Linked DNA regions of Arabidopsis thaliana. The protein of the gene in region 2 interacts with the protein of the main gene of each other region in a biochemical or structural test. Each region holds a gene or a part of one and is shown on either strand. Other genes may lie near its edges.

Evidence for each region.
Region 1: the proteins of MYC2 (region 2) and TIFY7 form a complex in vitro, tested with the Arabidopsis thaliana proteins (2 studies listed by BioGRID).
Region 3: the proteins of MYC2 (region 2) and JAZ3 form a complex in vitro, tested with the Arabidopsis thaliana proteins (4 studies listed by BioGRID).
Region 4: the proteins of MYC2 (region 2) and JAZ1 form a complex in vitro, tested with the Arabidopsis thaliana proteins (3 studies listed by BioGRID).

Annotation. Positions count from the first base shown.
Region 1 is NC_003070.9:26,652,969-26,657,618, reverse strand, and holds TIFY7 (TIFY domain/Divergent CCT motif family protein), read right to left. Parts: upstream 2,852-4,650; 5' UTR 2,669-2,851; coding exon 2,578-2,668; intron 2,370-2,577; coding exon 2,287-2,369; intron 1,793-2,286; coding exon 1,638-1,792; intron 1,550-1,637; coding exon 1,465-1,549; intron 1,382-1,464; coding exon 1,141-1,381; intron 1,046-1,140; coding exon 870-1,045; coding exon of another isoform or gene 815-869; 3' UTR 555-814; downstream 1-554. Other genes in the region: HWI1 (Receptor-like protein kinase-related family protein), read right to left, coding at 4,238-4,257, 4,342-4,473. UniProt on the Arabidopsis thaliana protein: Repressor of jasmonate responses. Jasmonoyl-isoleucine (JA-Ile) specifically promotes COI1-TIFY7/JAZ9 interaction. Interacts with and suppresses RHD6 and RSL1 transcription factor activities to negatively regulate jasmonate-stimulated root hair development.
Region 2 is NC_003070.9:11,797,564-11,802,943, forward strand, and holds MYC2 (Basic helix-loop-helix (bHLH) DNA-binding family protein), read right to left. Parts: upstream 3,845-5,380; 5' UTR 3,351-3,844; coding exon 1,479-3,350; 3' UTR 781-1,478; downstream 1-780. Other genes in the region: AT1G32630 (FAM50A-like protein), read left to right, coding at 379-780.
Region 3 is NC_003074.8:6,118,075-6,123,550, forward strand, and holds JAZ3 (jasmonate-zim-domain protein 3), read left to right. Parts: upstream 1-1,632; 5' UTR 1,633-1,893; coding exon 1,894-1,978; exon of another isoform or gene 1,979-3,008; coding exon of another isoform or gene 3,009-3,054; coding exon 3,055-3,254; intron 3,255-3,514; coding exon 3,515-3,729; intron 3,730-3,804; coding exon 3,805-3,895; intron 3,896-3,976; coding exon 3,977-4,280; intron 4,281-4,377; coding exon 4,378-4,438; intron 4,439-4,514; coding exon 4,515-4,617; 3' UTR 4,618-4,970; downstream 4,971-5,476. Other genes in the region: TDX (tetraticopeptide domain-containing thioredoxin), read left to right, coding at 5,460-5,476. UniProt on the Arabidopsis thaliana protein: Repressor of jasmonate responses. Jasmonoyl-isoleucine (JA-Ile) specifically promotes COI1-TIFY6B/JAZ3 interaction. Acts as a negative regulator of MYC2 function. Feed-back regulated by MYC2.
Region 4 is NC_003070.9:6,620,002-6,624,120, forward strand, and holds JAZ1 (jasmonate-zim-domain protein 1), read left to right. Parts: upstream 1-1,775; 5' UTR 1,776-1,830; intron 1,831-1,918; 5' UTR 1,919-2,310; coding exon 2,311-2,473; exon of another isoform or gene 2,474-2,671; coding exon 2,672-3,270; 3' UTR 3,271-3,619; downstream 3,620-4,119. Other genes in the region: AT1G19190 (alpha/beta-Hydrolases superfamily protein), read left to right, coding at 3,875-4,119.

The DNA.
Region 1 (4,650 bases), about 15 Mb from region 2:
AAGCTCTCTTTTTTGTCCTCCTCACCAAACTTTTGCTTATGTGCATCTCCTTCACCATTATTACTTTCCTACAATTATTTATCTGCCTCTAAATAATAATATCTATAAGATCTTTCCGCTTGTGAAGAGAATCTCTCTGTTTTCGTAATCAACATGTGAGCTCTTTTGGTTCACAATTTTTTTTTTGTTTACTGTAGCACATAAACTAGTAGTATTTATTCTCCTTAACATCAAATTTTGAACTCGTGACTTTCATAAAAAGCTATTTAAAACATGAATATTTTCCTTTGAAAACATATCATTTTTTGTAATATATCATCTTAGGTATTTTACACAATCATCAACCTCAAGAGAATTTTCACCTTCTTATTTTCTTTACATTGATACCAAAAAAAAACTCGAGAGAATAATAGTAAAGTGGACTTGTTAACAACGAAAGCTGGCGATACAAAACTAGTACTATTCTCTTTAGCGATGCATTCAATATGATTTTGGTATAAATCAATTAAGTGTTCATATAATTAGTTAATGAAGTGTGTTTGTGAAATTAGCAAAAAAAAAATTATAGTGAATTTTATTTGATATTAAATTCTTGACAGACATGAGTCCATGACAAACATATATCTGTTAGTTCTTAAAGTTATAATGTAATCCTACAATAAACAGACCAAAGCATTACAAACAATGATCAAATACAGAGACGCCCTAACGTCTTCTCCTGCTCGTAAGAATATAAATGGTAACTATATAATCATAATCTAATGATTACAATTACAAATTACCATTGTAAAAAAAAAAAAAAAAAGTGTAGGTTTTATGTAGGAGAAGTAGAAGAGTAATTCATTCCACTGGATTCTCCGGTCGACAAATCAAGAAGCATCTTCTTGTATGGCATTGCACTCATAAGCCTGCACCAACAACATCAATTCTTTTAGATTCAATTGAAAAACCTCAAAATTTTCTATAAAGAAAAAAAATACAAAATCAAACCTCTCTTTGCGCTTCTCCAAGAACCGAGCCAAGGATGCTTTCCGAGCTTGAGGGACTGGAAAAAAGCAATTTTCGAGTTTAGACATATGATTTGAGGAAGCAAAAATCTTGATTATATTTTGTTTTGATGTTGATATTAGACACACATACCTGAAGGAATCATGTTACGAGGAGCTGCATTGAATGATTCGATCATGCTCATTGCATTAGTCGCAGCAACGGGTGTGTCCCTACACCTTGAGAAATTATCAGTGTGAGTGGCAGAGCTTGATGAGGTAGCAGCAGTGTTATGGATTTGTTTTCCATACATTCTTTCAGCTTCTCGAACCGGTTTGCTATCTCCAGTTTCACCTTTCAAACCGTTCCCGGCGCATAACATGATGGCTTGAGCCTACTCACATATCATGAATAGTCCGTTTTAGAACATGTAAATGTTATGTAAATGTTATTTGTATGAATCTTGATTATATATACCTTATCGGGAGATATGTCATTAAAGACGCTTATAGTTCCGCCATAAAAGATTGTGAGCTGAGGAGATGATCCGGAGGAAGCCACTCTGTTTCCACAAACCCACATAACCAAATCAAAATATGAAAAGAGCAAAAAAATTGTTGAATGTTTTTGCATCATAATATGGAAATTACCGTGGAACAAGAGAAGGATGAGTTGGTAAAGGAACTGAACCGCCTAGTAAAAGCGGCGTCGCGTTTTGAAACGCACCACCAAATTGGCATCTGCGGAAAACATTGGCCGCAGAAACTGATCCCCACTGGTATGCACCCGGAAACGCCTTAGCCTCCTAATTTGTTAAATTCAAATTTTAATCGTCAACGTCTTTAAATTTTTTGTACATTCTAAATTTAGAAAAATGCCAAGAAATAAACGTGATCCAAACGCCAAACACCAAACGCCACAAAATATTAAATTATTTTTTCCCTAACTTTGCGGCTGGCAGACGACCGACCCTACCAGCTCTTAACTAGCACTTATCCAACAATTTTTTTTCCCTGGTTAATGATTGGCCACATACACAAAAATGATAAAGTTCGGCCATTTATCCGACCATTTTCCGGTGGCTATCTCTTACGAAAACAACTTTTCTCATAAATATGTGATTGATGTGTTTAACATAATTTGAAAGTAAATTCTTCTTTTTAATCAAGACCATAATTGAGTACTCCTCTTGCACATGCTAAAAGACGACCATGATTATGCGGTAGCTTATAGAACCATTAGATTAGCCATAACATCTGAAACTGATACAGAGTAAGTTAAATTTTAAGATGAACCAACCTGGAAATCTGAAGAAGGCATGAAACTTGAAGTAGCAAAAACCTTTGACTTCCCCCATTCTCTAGCTGCCTTCGTACTTAACCCTATAAGTATCATTTTTTATGGTCGTCAATTTGACTAATCTATCCAATCTCATTTTTATAAAAGATTTAATGGAATCTTTTTTTTTTCAAGTTTTGGAATCTGAAAAATTATATTTAAATAAACAACTTTATACGGCTATGTTAAAAGTGAAAACTGATCTCTTCTTGAAACATTAAAATAAAAGATTCTCGAGACAAGAACACAAACCTCGTTCTTCGACAGCATCATCGTTAACCTCATGCTTAACGTTATTACTTAGATACTGCTTGTCGCTCAAACCCAGAAAATCTCTTTCCATTGCAAACCAAATATTCAATGACAAACTCTCAAATTAACGTGTTTCTCTCTGTTTCTTGCCCAAAACATCCAATTTAAAGAAGAGGAAGAAGAAAACAGAAGAAAGAAGTGGGAATCCACAAGGAAGGTTTCGTTTTGGTAATGTTACAGACACACTTTTGGAGAGGCTTATTTAACTCTTTGCCTTTCCTGTTTTTAAAGGCTTGCTTGATTAAAGCATGTGGGGCTTTTTTCTGACCGGTACAAACGGTTGGTGCTACTGGTTAAACCGGTTAATTCACACGTGTTTATTCTTTTGATTTTTTCATTTCTGAGGACCATATACAATTAGACATCCGTCGACCGTCGGTGGCTCTAGTTTATAATAGTGCATGTTTTTTTTCAAAGGTGGATTAATTAGTTTGGCTATTGGATATTTTCTTCGTGAACTCACACACACATGTAAAATGTGTGGTTGCTTTTCTTATGCAACGGTTTGGTATTTATCACATATTTTTTTCTTTTCTTTGAAAATTATTTCAACTATAATAATAAATGAAATGATAAGCCAAGACTCTTTCGTTGAGGCAAAAGTAATGTCACGTATTGGATATACAATAACCAAATCACGAGAATGCTCAATGGGCTGAAAGAAGTTTGATTTGCTTATCTAAGGCCCATAATTTTGTTTACGGCCCGACTTACATTAAATCTGTTCAGTATAACTGTACAGATTTGGCTAAATTGCATTCCAAACTAGACCTCCAAGAACTTGAGTGAACTTTTGCTAAGCTCATTTCATAACACGTGAAATTTTTGAATCTTTGATACATCATGTTGTTATTTGAGACCAATTTTTCTTATTCATATAATGTTTCAAACAGACGCAAGTCATTTATTAGTCATGTTACTCATGTACAAATTAAAAGAAGAACCTGGTTATGAAGCAATCATCGGTAGTACATTAAGAATTTCAGAAAATTAAAAAAAATATGGAAAAGAATTAGACGTTAGTTGGTCTTTCAAAGTCCTAAAACGATTTGGTAGTCAGCTTACAATTTTAAATTATCATTTTTAATGATTAAAGGACATTAGGCCAAGTCTTCAATTGAGTTCTTTAGACAATATGAGAATAAATAATGATGAATACGATGAAAAGATTCGTTCAGACATTCGCAATAGGACGAACACAGTTATCATTTTTTGGATCTCCATCCTGATTTACGGTTTAATATGTTCCATTATTCTCGACACGTTCATTTATTTTAACTTGTTTGTGTATTGATAAAAGAAGCTCAAACCCTTTTAATTACTGTTATTTTTTGCATAGACGAAAAACATGGCATTTATAGAAGATAAGAAATCGAAGGTTTCATTCACATCAAAGAAGAAGATATCGCTTTGGCCTATATAAGTCCGACAATTATACAAAAATCGATTCGGAGATACAATCATATCAATACTATATCAAATTATCAATATACTATAACTACGTACATCTTATGAGGGAGAACAAAAAAAATTACAAAAATACAACTAACAGTGTGGCTCGACTCGAGTTGTTGATTGATATCTTTCCCACTTTGTCCTTTCATTTACACCATTTCTCATCTGCAAAAGGCATATACATAGTAATTTAGATTTTATGATCGATAAAAGAACTGAAAAAAAAACGTAAATCAATATCAAAAATACCTTGTAATTTTCTACAACACTTTCCAACAAAAGCGAGAAACACAACGAGCAAGATGATTAAGGTGACGATTCCTATTATTATCGCCAATGTTTTTCCCACTCCATTATCATCCTTATTGCCCTTCTCTCCTTCTGCCAAATATATATATATATAATTTTAAAACTATCCATCCACCTCTAAAGTTTTTAATAAATTTGTTTTCTCCATCAAGTATAATGTTCATATTTTTATTTATGGTCAACACTATCAATTTTATGGGTTTAAAAATTTAGCGTCGTACACAAATATATAAACCATTAGACTAATTG
Region 2 (5,380 bases):
AATCACTGAGATTGGTAATATATGGGTTTTAGCCTCTTAACCTAATCATCGAATTAATCATTCAGGTTCTTTGAGTATCGAACTTCTCTGTTTTCTCAACTTGAAAGCAAAGCAAAATAACATTTTTAGTTGTATCGATTAGCTAATTTTGATTCTTTGGAAGTCTTACATTTCTGGTTGATTGCTATTAACGAATCTCTAATTTGGTCCTCCTCTAGTTGCAAAATTACATTTGTGTGTGTTTTGTGTCTTCAGCTTTTGAATTAAGAAGCTTCTAGGGTTTTATAGAGCTTTAGATTCTTTCCTTTAAATGCATTACCTTATAATAGAATTTGGTTTGTTTTATCAGTGTTTTGAGTAATTGGAATTGAAGGAAAGATGAGCAATGGTGGTTTGAGCATTGATGAGAAAGAAGGGTTGATAGACAAAGATGAAGTCATGATCCGTCGAATGAAGAACAGAGAAAGACAACGTAGGTATCGAGCCAGGAAACGGATGCGGGAAGAAGAAGCGGGTAACGATGATAATCTTTCGTTTGAGACAATGGGAAAACAAGAAGAAGAAGAAGAAGAAGACGAGGGACTAGAGTTTAATGGACCTAGTGGTTATGTTGAGAACTTTGTGCGGCGGGTTTATTGCGATAGAAATTGGAAAAAAGAAGCTAGAAGAGCTCATTTGATTATGAACAAGGCTCAAGATAGTTCTTGTGAGTCGGTTAAACGGAAGATAAGGCCGCATCGTCGAGATTGGAAAGCTGAAGCTAGAAAGAAGAAAACTTGATTCTTGAGGATTGGTCAGGTTGCTAGAGGATCTTGCGAGGTGATCGAGGAAGAGAATGCACAAACAAAGCAGATTTCAGATTCAATAATCTCTTCAAGATTTCTATTTTTGTAGATATTGGAAATGATCAAGACAAAAGCAAGTGATTTGCTTTTTCTTGTCTGTGACTCTGTCTGTGTATTCGAAGATCCATGTAGTATTATACTAAGGTTTATGTGTGTTGTGTCTTATTGATTAGACAAGAGGAAACATTATCACACTGACTTAAGAAAACTGTGCATATGGTCTCCCTCTCGACTTAACTTACTTAAGATTTGTCTCTCTTCCTAAGTTTGATGTGTTAGGAGAGACATTTTTGACCATATGTACAAAATCAGTGATCATGACCATTAGTCTCTTATTTTAGACCATTTATACTCGATTTCTTTTTCTTTTTTATCATATGAAATTGTGTAGAAATATTAACTTTTTCAGTAACTAACTCATATTACTCATATCAATATATACAAGTTTACTCATTGAGGAGATACAACAATAAAACGATACAGACTCAAACATAGAGCAAAAGAAGAAACTTGTCGCTCTATTTTAAGATTTTTTTCTTACAAAACTAAAATCTACAAAATTACTGAAGCCACTAAAACGAATTAATTATGATTTGACCCCATAACTTTCTAAACTTCCCAAAACACACCCTTTTAACCGATTTTTGAAATCAAACTTGCTCTGAGCTGTTCTTGCGTATAGATCCTAAAACCCATCTTCACCGTCGCTTGTTGAATCATCAAATCGTTAACCACCGACATACTCGCGTGATTCACTTCCAACTCCAAATCCATCAACGCCGACATCAACCTCGCCGCCGGATGATTCCTCTTACTAGATTCAACTCTAATCATTGCGTCCCAACCAATTATCTTCACTTCAATCTCCATCCCCACCGGTTTAATCGAAGAACACGAAGACGACATATCTCCTCCACTAGCACTCGCTTTTCTTCCGGCGAGCTCGAGTTTCACTTCCTCGAGCTGGTTCTTGATTTGGAGTTTCTCTGACTCTGTTTTGACTACTTTGGATTTAAGCTCGTTGATGTAAGCGATTGCGTCACCGAGTAACGAAGCTTTATCCATTTTTGAAACGTTTGGTACAACCGCTCGTAACGCGTAGAATCTTTGGTTTAGTTTCTCGCGTCTTTGTCTCTCTGCTTCGACGTGGTTTAGTGGCTCTTCTCTACCGTTTGCTGGCTTTCTTCCTCGTTTCTTTGGACGTTTCTCTACTGCTACTTCTTTCACGACGGAAGCTTCTAGATCGGAGTGATCTGATTCTCCGGCGGTTTTATCTCCGAATGATAGAACTTTATCTTCGTTCAAAACCATCGACCTCTTTCTTTTGTTTTCGAATTGTGTTTGACCCGAATAAGAACTTGGATCCGGGTTTCCGGAGCTTCGTTTACCTTCATCGCCGAAGTTTAATATCTCGCCGGATCTTGGTTTCACTAAAGTAGAACTTGACGTCGAAAAATTAAGTTCTCGGGAGAAAGTGTTATTGAATTTCGGATTCTGGGTCTGAGAATGAACCGGACTCGGAGTCGGATCCAGATTCGGGTTTTCGGTTATTGTGCTTGAGCTACCGTTCTCAAACTGAATAGACTTTGAAAAAAGCTGGGAGCTAGAACTTGGAGCTCCGTTACCCGGTTCGTTAGATCCAGGTGTTCCAATCGGGTCATTAATCCACATAGACGGGTCGTTCTCACCTTGATCCGGGTCAAGATTCCAATTAAGACCCGATAAATCTCCAGCTCCGCCGTCGAAATTGAAAAGAATTCGAACCTTGTTAATAAGGTCCGAACTCTGTCGGATCGGCTCCGTTGACCCGACTTCCACAACTCCGTTCGCCGAAGGAATACACGCAATAGTATGCATCCCAAACACTCCTCCTTGCTTAGCCCGTTCACAACCCGACCCGGATAATTGATCTGACCCGGAAACCCAAACCGCGTTACCCGTTGCAAACGCTTTACCAGCTAATCCCGCACCGCAAGCGAAGCTCTGCGTCATCGAAACCAAGAAAAACCATTCCGTATCCGTCACCTCCTCATCAACAGCGTCATCCGACGGAGCAACACCACCGGAGATCAACGAGTTAAGCTCTCTCAACACTTTTTTCCTGTACTCCTGATCCGCCGGAGTAGAAAACGGCGGCGAACTCGATCTCCGTCTCGGGTTTGCTTTATCTTCTTCACCTTTGTAATAACCATCTCCCCATCCGAGCACGGAGGCGCCGGAGAAATCATACGACGGTTGCCAGAATATAGCGTAGGTCCAACCTTCGTGTGTTCCTTCAATCAAAGCTTGTAAACGTTGCTGAAGAGTCTCTTGATTAAATCCCGCCTGTGCCGGAATCTCCATCGCCGGCGTCGGAGTTGTTTCAGTCGTCGCCGTCGTGGTTGTCGTCGACGCCGGAGGCCATAAAGTTGAGATATCGGAAGAGCTCATGAAAGCTTCCATCATAGAAGCGTTGTCGTCGGTGGTCCAAAGATTCATCGTTGGTTGTAGCCGGTAATCAGTCATTCCATAAACCGGTGACCGGTAAAAAAAAACACGTTTTTAATGAGAGAGAGAGAGATAGGAGAAAGTCTTCGTAGTGGAGAAAAATGGAGAGCGTCTGCGATTATTATATGTGTAACTGATCTTGAGGGTGAATGTGTAAATTTGTTGTTAGGGATATTACGTGGCGAGATTTCATTGGGAAACGTGGATGGTTGTAAGAGAGAGAGAAGCTTCGATGAACTCACATCCCGATTTAACCCCATCGACTGTTGGATCGACGCGGTAAGAATTAAGACCGGAAGTGAGTGAGATCGTACGGCTGTTTGGTCGCACGTGTATCACACGCTCTTTAATGATTGACTTAGATTTTAACTGATTGTTTCTTTTGTACCAAAGAGTGAACTGTGAGCTCAGTGGAAAAACACTTTACTATAACTTTTCACCTATTTTTTCGATTTATATTTGTCGTTTTGTCAACTTTTAGAATATATTTTTTATAACAGATTAATTACTTATTTTATAATGTTATTTTAAAATATTAAAAATCAAAATTTAAGATTTGTAATCTCAATTATCAAATACTGTGTCTTAGCTTAATTAATTTTGAGATTTGCATATCTATATAACGTGAGTCGTTGCTAATAATTCACTAAAGCAAAAATTTGTGTTTGTCTTAATATGTTAAATTGCAAGAGAGTGAAATGCAAGTGAGAATCTCTATCTCCAAAAACGATTCTTGTCTGCTTAACTAATTAATTTGTTGACGACTAAATAAACTAATAATTTATTAATTTGACCAAACGCTATTATTAGCATATGCTTTAAGAAAGGAAGAACTCCTTTATAATATTTTTAGTTACATTCACATTTCACGATAAACACATGCTAACAACGTTATATTGTTTGTTTAATTTACAATATTAAAATTTTATTTTTAAAGTTCGAACAATAATTCAAGGATTAGGTCATTAGGTGAGTATGAGTGAATAACATAAATCATTTGGCATCTTTTCCTCCATGCATAAATTTATCACAATAATTTAGCATGCCACCAATATGGTCCCATTACTCCTAACCCTTACCTAAAAACCAAAAATAAAACAAAAAGAATTAAGATAAAATAGTATATATATATATATATATATATACTTCTAAAATTCTATCTTGCGAAGACAAATTCTTACTAACAAAACACTAAACTTATGTTATTGTGTTCTTGTAGATTTACGTTGTCTTGTGATAAACTCAATGATATGTCTTTATACGTTCAGATTAATGATACTCCGGTTGATTTTTCTTATTAAAACCATATTAAACTAAAGAGTATTTTACCAACAATAAATAGTAAAATAATTTTGGGATCTAGTATACCATTTTTTGTAAATAACAACCAAAATAACTTTTGAATATAATTTTCTGAGACATCTGTATTGGGTGAACTCGTCAATGAACGATTCAACAAACAGAAAACAACCAAACCATTGTCTGGTGGTTGTGAGTCGACTTTTGAACATGTTTACTATAAGAAAATTATGAGAAGATGTTACACTAAGTTTTGGCTAGGTGATTCGTGATATCATATTTCATGTCGACTTTGGGGGTGACGCCACTAGAAAACAACAATATCCCACTAAGTAATGAATAATTAGTGGGATAAATATAGAGATTTCCCCCCTTACTTCGAGAAATGAGATAACAAAGATGACAGTTTTCTTGTTATGTTGTTATGTTGAGCTTAGAATGGGGATGATGGAGTGTTCTGACTTCTTAGAGAAAATGGTTGAAATTTTTTAAGTAGAGAGTCGGGTTGATTAAATGAAGATCTTACTATCACCTTGTTGAAAGAGAGGGACATTAGTCGGGATTCGGGAACAATGTGGAACGTAAGATATAAATTTCCCATATGTTATTTCCTAACTGCATGAAATAAAAATATATCTGTTACCTGATCCAAATTTGTATGTGACCAATTCGAGTTATTCTTAGATTTAGAGAAATAGAGAATCATCAATTGGTGTACACTTTCGATAGATCGTCGAACATGATATAAT
Region 3 (5,476 bases), on a different chromosome or scaffold from region 2:
CGCTATATATCATGCATATACATATGTCATTTGATTTTCTCTTTGCCATTATTTACTCTCATTCGATTTTAATACAAAATTATTTAAGTTGTTGTTGTAAACAGACGTTGCTGTTGCTGTTGAGTTTGATTTAGAATAGTTAAGTTTGGTTTTGGTTGGAGAAAAGTTTTCGTTGTTAAGCCAACTCGTGATCATTTAATCTGTTCTTTTTTTGGTAGGGGGTGATCATTGAATCTTTTGTTTTGAGTTTTGTATGTCTATATAGAGTCTAATACCATTAAAACAAAAAAAATGTCGTGGTAACCAGAATTAAATGATGTAAAAACAGAAAACAAGAATTAAATGTCGGATGTAAAAACAGAATTAAATTTCGGATGTTTTATGTGGATCATAGCGTGAGAGATGCGTTTATGGCATCTTTTGATATAATCTTCGCTTTGTAGGTCCACTTTTGATCTGATCTGATCTATTATCTATATGGAATGTTGTGTATATAATAAACTGCAGTGTAGTATTTTCTTAATAATGTGATATTAATATCTAAATTCTAGGCTGGAGAAAATGACGTGTGCTGCATATCCCCCAGACTCGAAATAACGATGTTATCGTGGGAGATGATCGTCAATTTTTTTTTTGTTTAGAGATCGTCAAGTTGTTGTGATCATTGACTCCTTTCCATTTTTTCTATAGATTTGAATTTTAAATATTCATTTTCATAAAAAAATGAAAACTTTATTATTATATTTGTGAGATAATTAGATATGTTTTAAAACATTAGTAAATTTAGTATAGTATTAGTTTTTACTAAATTAAGAAGAAAGTGACGCACGAAATGGCGTAATTTCCTCCCCCGGACCACATGCATCTTATAAATACACAAAAACGATGTCAACGAGTGATTTTAGTAATATGTACATTAAAGTAATATTTTCTTTTTGGTACCAATAATTACCTTAATTAATACAAGTATAGTTTAAGCAACAAGCAACATTCTTTAATAATTCGCGAAAAATATTAATAAAAGTACAATGACAGAAAAAATAATTAAAAATTGGATTAAAAAAAATAATATTAGAGTGATGACATAATCACATGAGGATTTAGATTTAGCTTAATAATGTTTAGTTGTGGAACTAAATTTCCGCAACAATTATTTTGTTGTATTTAAATCATTTTATGAAAGTCTAATCTTTACAATTACTTTATAGTACCATCCGATTAATCAAAGATTAAAAATATAGTACTAAAATACAAATTAATATATTTTGCCAAAAAAATGCAACGTGCAAATGTTTATCTTGGTCAAGAGAACGTGCACGAAAGTAGTGTAACTAATTTTACTATTTTAGATTGAGCGGTGAGACAAAAAGGGGGTTAGACTCACGCGCTACACTTAGCGCGTCAGCCGACAAAAAAAAGTGTTGTCATTGAATAAAAAAATAAATTAAAACTGCCGCTTCGCATCTCGTGAATCATTCACGTTAAAATAGCGCACGTGCCTCGCCACGCGTCTCACCACAAAAAGAAACGCCACACACTGCACGACGATGCACGTGCCTTTTTAACCGACTATATCCGGTGACGTAACCGGGACAACCTGTAGCTGGTTTTTGCGCCAATAGGATATGAGAAAAAAGAATCTTTTTTTTCTTGTTATAGTTATAAATTAATGGTACGATTCACATGTCGCATGCGATTTGTTAATAAAACTAGAAATTGCGGTGAATTAACTTCATTCCACGTTTTTTCATTTTCTCCCTCAAAAGTCTCTGTTTTTTTTCCTTTTTCCGGCGAAGCTCTATTTAGCTTGATTCCGGCGTTTAACACGCGTTTTAATCGAAACAGACATTTGAGATCGAATTAATTTTGTAGCGGGCTGTGTCTTTATTATAGATGGAGAGAGATTTTCTCGGGTTGGGTTCGAAAAATTCTCCGATCACTGTCAAGGAGGAAACCAGCGAAAGCTCTAGAGATTCAGGTTATTTATTACTCTTCTCAATTTTTCTGATTCTGATTGTTTTTAAATCGTAGATTTGTTTGATTGATTAGGAGTTATTAGGACTACTTGTAGTATGGAATTTGTTTTTGGATAGCTGATTTTATGGCTTGCTCGGGAACTGGAATTGTCAGTTTGTTGCTTGGAGCAGAACATTGTCCTTTGCTTTTCTCGGGAGATGTAGAATTTGGATTTGGAAAAACTAGTGTTCTTTTCCAAAGCCTTGTCTTAAACATGCTTTCGGTCGGAGAAATTAACGAGAACTAATCTCAAGCTTCTAACATAATTAAACTCGGTAAACTTTTTTTTACTAGAGTAAATTTTTTTGTTTTGTTTGAAGAGTCTTATAATTGAGAAATACTTTATTAGTTTATACTAAAAAAAAAACGAATACGTAAAATGTTGGAAAAGAGGGGATGTATAGAGACTGATACAAAAATGATAAAATAGAGACGGTTGGTAGTAGGTAGAAAGATTAAATATACTCAAAAGAGTGAGTTGGATTAGTTTATAAGATGATTAACTTCTTGATTGTGTGAGTTGGATTAGTTTATGAGATTATTAAAATATTGATTGTGTATTTGTGTTGTGTGTTGATTAAGCGGAACTTGCGTTAGAATATTGTTCAAGGTACAATGTGGAAATAATAGTTTTCTCACCACGAGGAATATAATTATTTCAACTTTGTTTTCTTATCAGCCAAAACGTGCCACACCATAAAAGTAGTGCATCAACATGTGGTGTGGTGTGGTGGGGTTAAAGTTTGAATCTCTCTTTAATTTAAACTATTAAAACAAACTTAAATTATTGGAGTTTCGTACAATGACTTTCAATCAAATGTTTTAGAATTAGACACGGTTTTCGAAAGTGGTTTTCCCTCGTTGAATTTGTCAACAGTATCAGATTCTACATTGTTGGTTACTAATCTTTTCCTTGAAGTAGGTGTTGAATTAATCCTCTGTTGTTTATGTAAGGAGATCTCGAGACATTTATGGTTAACAGTTAACACTACATGTTTGACTTTAAACTGATTATCTTTTATTCTTTTTCTTTTGTAGCTCCCAACAGAGGAATGAACTGGTCTTTCTCAAACAAAGTATCAGCTTCTTCTTCTCAGTTTCTATCCTTCAGGCCAACTCAAGAAGATAGACATAGAAAGTCTGGAAATTATCATCTTCCTCACTCTGGTTCCTTCATGCCATCATCAGTAGCTGATGTTTATGATTCAACCCGCAAAGCTCCTTACAGTTCTGTACAGGTATTTGTCATCAAAACCTATGTTAACCAAGACCCTTGTGTTTTTTTTATCCTTCGCAAGATAGCTTTAAAAGTGAGCCCTGTTTTATGAGCATATAGTAATTGGTTTTGAGTCTAGTTTAGCACAAGTTCATGGCAATTAGTTTGTGGATCTAATCTTGGTTTAATACTGATTCATTTTAAGTGTAAGCTAAGCTTCTCATTTTTGATAAGTTAGTTCATACAATGCCTCACACCTACTTTATGGCTTGTTACTCTCAGGGAGTGAGGATGTTCCCTAATTCCAATCAACACGAAGAAACTAACGCAGTTTCCATGTCGATGCCGGGTTTCCAGTCTCATCATTATGCACCAGGAGGAAGAAGCTTCATGAACAATAACAATAACTCACAACCTTTGGTAGGAGTTCCTATCATGGCACCTCCAATTTCAATCCTTCCTCCTCCAGGTTCCATTGTAGGGACTACTGATATTAGGTACCCACTAGTCATCATATCATACAGAAACTCTTTCTACATTTTCATAGTTGACTAAAGACTTATTTTTGTCAGATCTTCTTCCAAGCCAATAGGTTCACCTGCGCAGTTGACGATCTTTTATGCCGGTTCAGTTTGTGTTTACGATGACATATCTCCTGAAAAGGTATCTCAATCATTTTCTTCCATATATGCATCTCTTTTACTCGTAAGGTATGGTACTCATTTGCTTTCTTTCATTTCTCAGGCAAAGGCGATAATGTTGCTAGCTGGGAACGGTTCCTCTATGCCTCAAGTCTTTTCGCCGCCTCAAACTCATCAACAAGTGGTCCATCATACTCGTGCCTCTGTCGATTCTTCAGCTATGCCTCCTAGCTTCATGCCTACAATATCTTATCTTAGCCCTGAAGCTGGAAGTAGCACAAACGGACTCGGAGCCACAAAAGCGACAAGAGGCTTGACGTCAACATATCACAACAACCAAGCTAATGGATCCAATATTAACTGCCCAGTACCAGTTTCTTGTTCTACCAATGTAATGGCTCCAACAGGTAAAAAACAAAGTCAGAGACCTGATACTACATTCGCCATCTAACTTACTAGTATTTTCATGGATGTAACTTCATTCTCGTTCTGTTTCTTATGCAGTGGCATTACCTCTGGCTCGCAAAGCATCCCTGGCTAGGTTTTTAGAGAAACGCAAAGAAAGGTACGCAACACTTCTTTAGAATACACCATTCAATAGTTTCTTGGGCTAACTCTCTTTCTCGCTGTGGGTTTCTCAGGGTCACGAGCGTATCCCCATATTGCTTAGACAAGAAGTCATCGACAGATTGTCGCAGATCAATGTCTGAATGCATTAGTTCTTCTCTCAGCTCTGCAACCTAATTTCATCTACAGTAAGAAGGTTGCTTTAGACCACTCCACATCCATATTTGCATTTCAATGGCGGTCTTTTCAATGTCTCAGTTAATTTTTCCTCACTCGCCACACTGAGTTTCTCCTTAGCTTTATATATACGATAGTGTATACTTTGTTTACATGTTTTTTGGTGGAATGGAACTTATGAGAGCATATCAGATATGTACTTGGGAAAATTAGTAGAAACTGTTTGTTTCTTTTTTTTTAACTCTGTTCTTTTGTATATATCACTGAAGCTCGCATATGTATAATTCATGTAATGGAATTGCATCGCTTCTGTTTCCCTAAGTTATTTCTCTAATCAATTTTCTATTCAAATATGGGGATTTTTTTAATAGGATTTGCTAATTTGTACTCTGGTTAACAATAAGCTTGATACATTACCAGTTACCAACTCGAATTCACAAAAGAAGTCATCATTATATATGGAGAAAATGGAACATCTTTTAGAATTTGCTTTAATTCGTTTTGGCTAATTATTTTTCGGTCTTCGTTTTGGCTGTGAGTTTCTTTGTAACATCCTAATTTCAATATGTGGGCCATTTTGTGTTGTAGCCCATCAAGGCCCAATGTCTTATTGCACAACGAAAAGGGATGTTGCAAAAGATGATAAACCGGATATGAATTCAGTCGCGGTTAAGTTAACGCGAAGACAAAACCGGTTGGACATGTTCGGTTTTCGGCGATGATTATTTCAACGTTTTTCAGTCTAATCAAAACCAATACGAGCAGACACAGCTCCGTACGATCACAAGGATTCACTGATTTCTAAGCTTTTCATAGAAAGAAGAAGAAAAAGGCGGAATTCGATGGTGGATGCGATTCA
Region 4 (4,119 bases), 5.2 Mb from region 2:
TATAATATATTAGACATTACAAGTCTCTACAATGTTGGTTTATCATTAACAAGGACTAAACAATATACTATAATCATACAATAAATTAAGAGTCGTAAATTAATGGTAAACTCAACTAATGCATGAATAGTTGTAAAAGTATATATATTTGGACACGTTACTCAACTTGCATCGCGGATCTGTATTCCTTCCCAACCACTACGTACACGCATTTCCCACGAGTTTGACGATCTTTCTCGTTTAATCTAATCATATCTACTTTTATAGGCTCCATAGCCCACATTTCATATCTTATAGTACGTTCCAACTTCTAACCAATAAACTCAAAACTAGTTGAGTTTTTTAATTAGTGAAATATATCTTGAATTTTATATATCTAATCTTGCACCAATAAAGTTTCTGTCAATTATGTAAAAGAAAGACTCGTTGTATCAGTATGGGACGACTTTTTCTTCTGAATTGTGTCGATCGAGTCCATATTATAATACTTTGTCACGTACTTTGTTTACTGATTAATTTAATATAATTGTGTCGCATTATCCAAGTCTAATTAAACATTAATGTGTATATTATACACCAAGTTACAATTACAGATCTATCTCTTAGTCGTTTTATTATGTATAGCCTACAATGAAACATGACATCAACGTATAGGTGAAGCTGAAGCCTATACATAAAAGTAAGGTTTTGGAGTTTGTTTCATGTTTTAAGGTTTTAGATATTTTGTGATCGATTTGCATGTATAGGGTTCCAAATATCTGAGCTTTGGCTTGGTCTACTTTGAGAAAGCAGCTGTAGAGATCAACTTTAGCCGTTTAGGTGATAAAATCACATTAGAACTCTATAGGTCGCGTAGCAGCGTATAAGAGCCCTGGATACTGAAATACAAGAATCTCTCCACGCGTAGAAAAACGAACCAACCATGATAAAACACGTGTCATATCGAATAGGTACAGACAACGTGCACTTGCCAACCTTCTTTCCTTGTAGTTTCCTTCTTCTTTGCTTCTTTTTTTCGTTAAATATTGATATTGTTCAAAAAACGCATAACAACAAAAACGTGGTCGACGGAACATGTGGGTGGTGGAGTTGTCTTCTTTAGGGGACCACTCACTAACGCCGTTTACTTTCCCGCTTGGACGATAACACCCTTGATATATGGATTAGTCTCTCTTTTGCTTTTGGATATCTTAATATATTTTAATATGTCCATTTTTATATTGACGACCATTTAATTAGGTCTCAGTTTGTATTATTGATTTTTAGGTGCCAAGCATTACTTTCGTTACGTGTAATCTTTTGATTATTCAATCAAATTATCATATGGTTCATGGCATTTTATCAATTGTGACGGTCGACATGTGGGTTGACTTTGATGTATGACTTTTAGCTTGTGCCTCATTTTTATTCCAACTCGACAACTAGCAGACTTTATATTTTAATTTATTTCTTTCTAGATATTAGACAATTCTTAGCTTGTCTCTCTGCATGAATCACGCGTTAATATACTTATAATAGTAAGTTTTAAAATGTTTCGAGTATAATATCATATTAGATTTCAATTATAATTGTAAGATTATTTAGTCTCAATGAAGAGCATTTAAAAATGTGAAAGAGTTTAGGCTTTGACTGTTGACTGGTTCTAACGCGTTTTGCTTCTTATTTATACAAAAAGATTTTATTTTATTTTAATTAGAAATATTAAGTACTTTTTAGACGTGTTTAGGTTGATTAATTTCTTGTTAACATATCCGATAAAAAAAAACAGCACCAAAATCACGACGAGAATTATGCCTACGTTACGTTGATAATAAAGATTAGAGATAAAATGTAACCTCTCTTCTCTTTACATCATTACATGCATCTTGTGTTTTATTTGACTTTATTCTTACCAACAAACAACCAATGGATAAATTAGGCTCGTGAAGGAGGGCAAACTCGTAATTTCAAAGAAACGGAAAGCGTCAGAACGTGGAGAACAGTGAACCGAGACACATTCCCGATTTTTCTAAAGAAACAAAATAAAACACGTGTTTTTTATACCATAAGTAAAGTAGTAGTATTTATTAAACTATTAATATATAGCTTTGTTATATTGGAGGTAGGAAGAAGAACTCTGCAACCAAACCAACCAACCCCAAAGCCAAACAAAGTTTTATAGAGACCTTCCATTTCTCCCTCTCGTGACAAACGCAATTTGCAGAGAAGCAACAGCAACAACAAGAAGAAGAAGAAAAAGATTTGAGATTACTTTGTATCGATTTAGCTATTCGAGAAACTCTTGCCGTTTGAAAGTTTTAATTGTTAAAGATGTCGAGTTCTATGGAATGTTCTGAGTTCGTCGGTAGCCGGAGATTTACTGGGAAGAAGCCTAGCTTCTCACAGACGTGTAGTCGATTGAGTCAGTATCTAAAAGAGAACGGTAGCTTTGGAGATCTGAGCTTAGGAATGGCATGCAAGCCTGATGTCAATGGTAAGAAACCTTCTCTTTCTCCTAGATCCACTTCTTTTTTCGTTTTCTCTGTTTTTTATTTCTTGAATCTTGATCTTGAAAACTTTTCAAGAAAATTTTGAATCGATTTCAAAGAAATTAGGGAGAGTTAGTTTGCTAAATTTTGACATAGAAAATGATTGGAGAGAGTTCTAACTTTTGGATCATATATATTTGCAGGAACTTTAGGCAACTCACGTCAGCCGACAACAACCATGAGTTTATTCCCTTGTGAAGCTTCTAACATGGATTCCATGGTTCAAGATGTTAAACCGACGAATCTGTTTCCTAGGCAACCAAGCTTTTCTTCCTCATCTTCCTCTCTTCCAAAGGAAGATGTTTTGAAAATGACACAGACTACCAGATCTGTGAAACCAGAGTCTCAAACTGCACCATTGACTATATTCTACGCCGGGCAAGTGATTGTATTCAATGACTTTTCTGCTGAGAAAGCCAAAGAAGTGATCAACTTGGCGAGCAAAGGCACCGCTAATAGCTTAGCCAAGAATCAAACCGATATCAGAAGCAACATCGCTACTATCGCAAACCAAGTTCCTCATCCAAGAAAAACCACAACACAAGAGCCAATCCAATCCTCCCCAACACCATTGACAGAACTTCCTATTGCTAGAAGAGCTTCACTTCACCGGTTCTTGGAGAAGAGAAAGGACAGAGTTACGTCAAAGGCACCATACCAATTATGCGATCCAGCCAAAGCGTCTTCAAACCCTCAAACCACAGGCAACATGTCGTGGCTCGGTTTAGCAGCTGAAATATGAATGCTAACCACCCTCAAGCCGTACCAAGAAATTCTTTTGACGACGTTGCTTCAAGACAAGATATAAAAGCTCCTATCTTCATGCTTTTTGATTTAAGATACAAACTACTCAATGATTAGGAAACTTCATATATTTGTATGTATTGATTAGTGATCAATTATTGTTAGTATTCGTTATAGTCTGTTTTTCTACTAGTTATTGTCGCCTGTCTAAATCCCCTTGCTATGGGTTATCTCAAAATTAGTTTCGTATGTAACTAATTTTGTAAGAACAATAATTTTTGTTGACGAACCATACTATCAAATACTCTAAATTATATCTTGATAAATCTACCTATCAGGTAAGTAGGTGTGTTTTGTTTTCATTTGTTTACTTGTTACCTACTAATCTCATATTTTATGATTCAAATTCAAACCCGTGAATTATGAGTTAGTAGGTAGGTTTAACAACATGTCAACAACTAAAGAACAACGTGACATCTAAACCAAACCAAAACTATAGAGAGTTCAGAGTAGTCGTAGTCTCGTAGAGATCATTCATATAAATAAATCGCATAAACACCAAAATCAACTCTTAATTCTTTCCTAATCATCATTAATCTCTAATGGATTCCGAAATCGCATTCGACTATTCTCCGAGGTTTCGTATATTCAAGAACGGTGGCATCGAACGCCTCGTACCCGAAACATTCGTCCCACCGTCACTAAATCCCGAAAACGGCGTCGTATCTAAAGATGCCGTCTATTCACCGGAGAAAAACCTCTCTCTCCGCATTTACCTCCCTCAAAATTCCGTCTATGAAACCGGCGAGAAGAAAATCCCACTACTCGTCTACTTTCATGGCGGAGG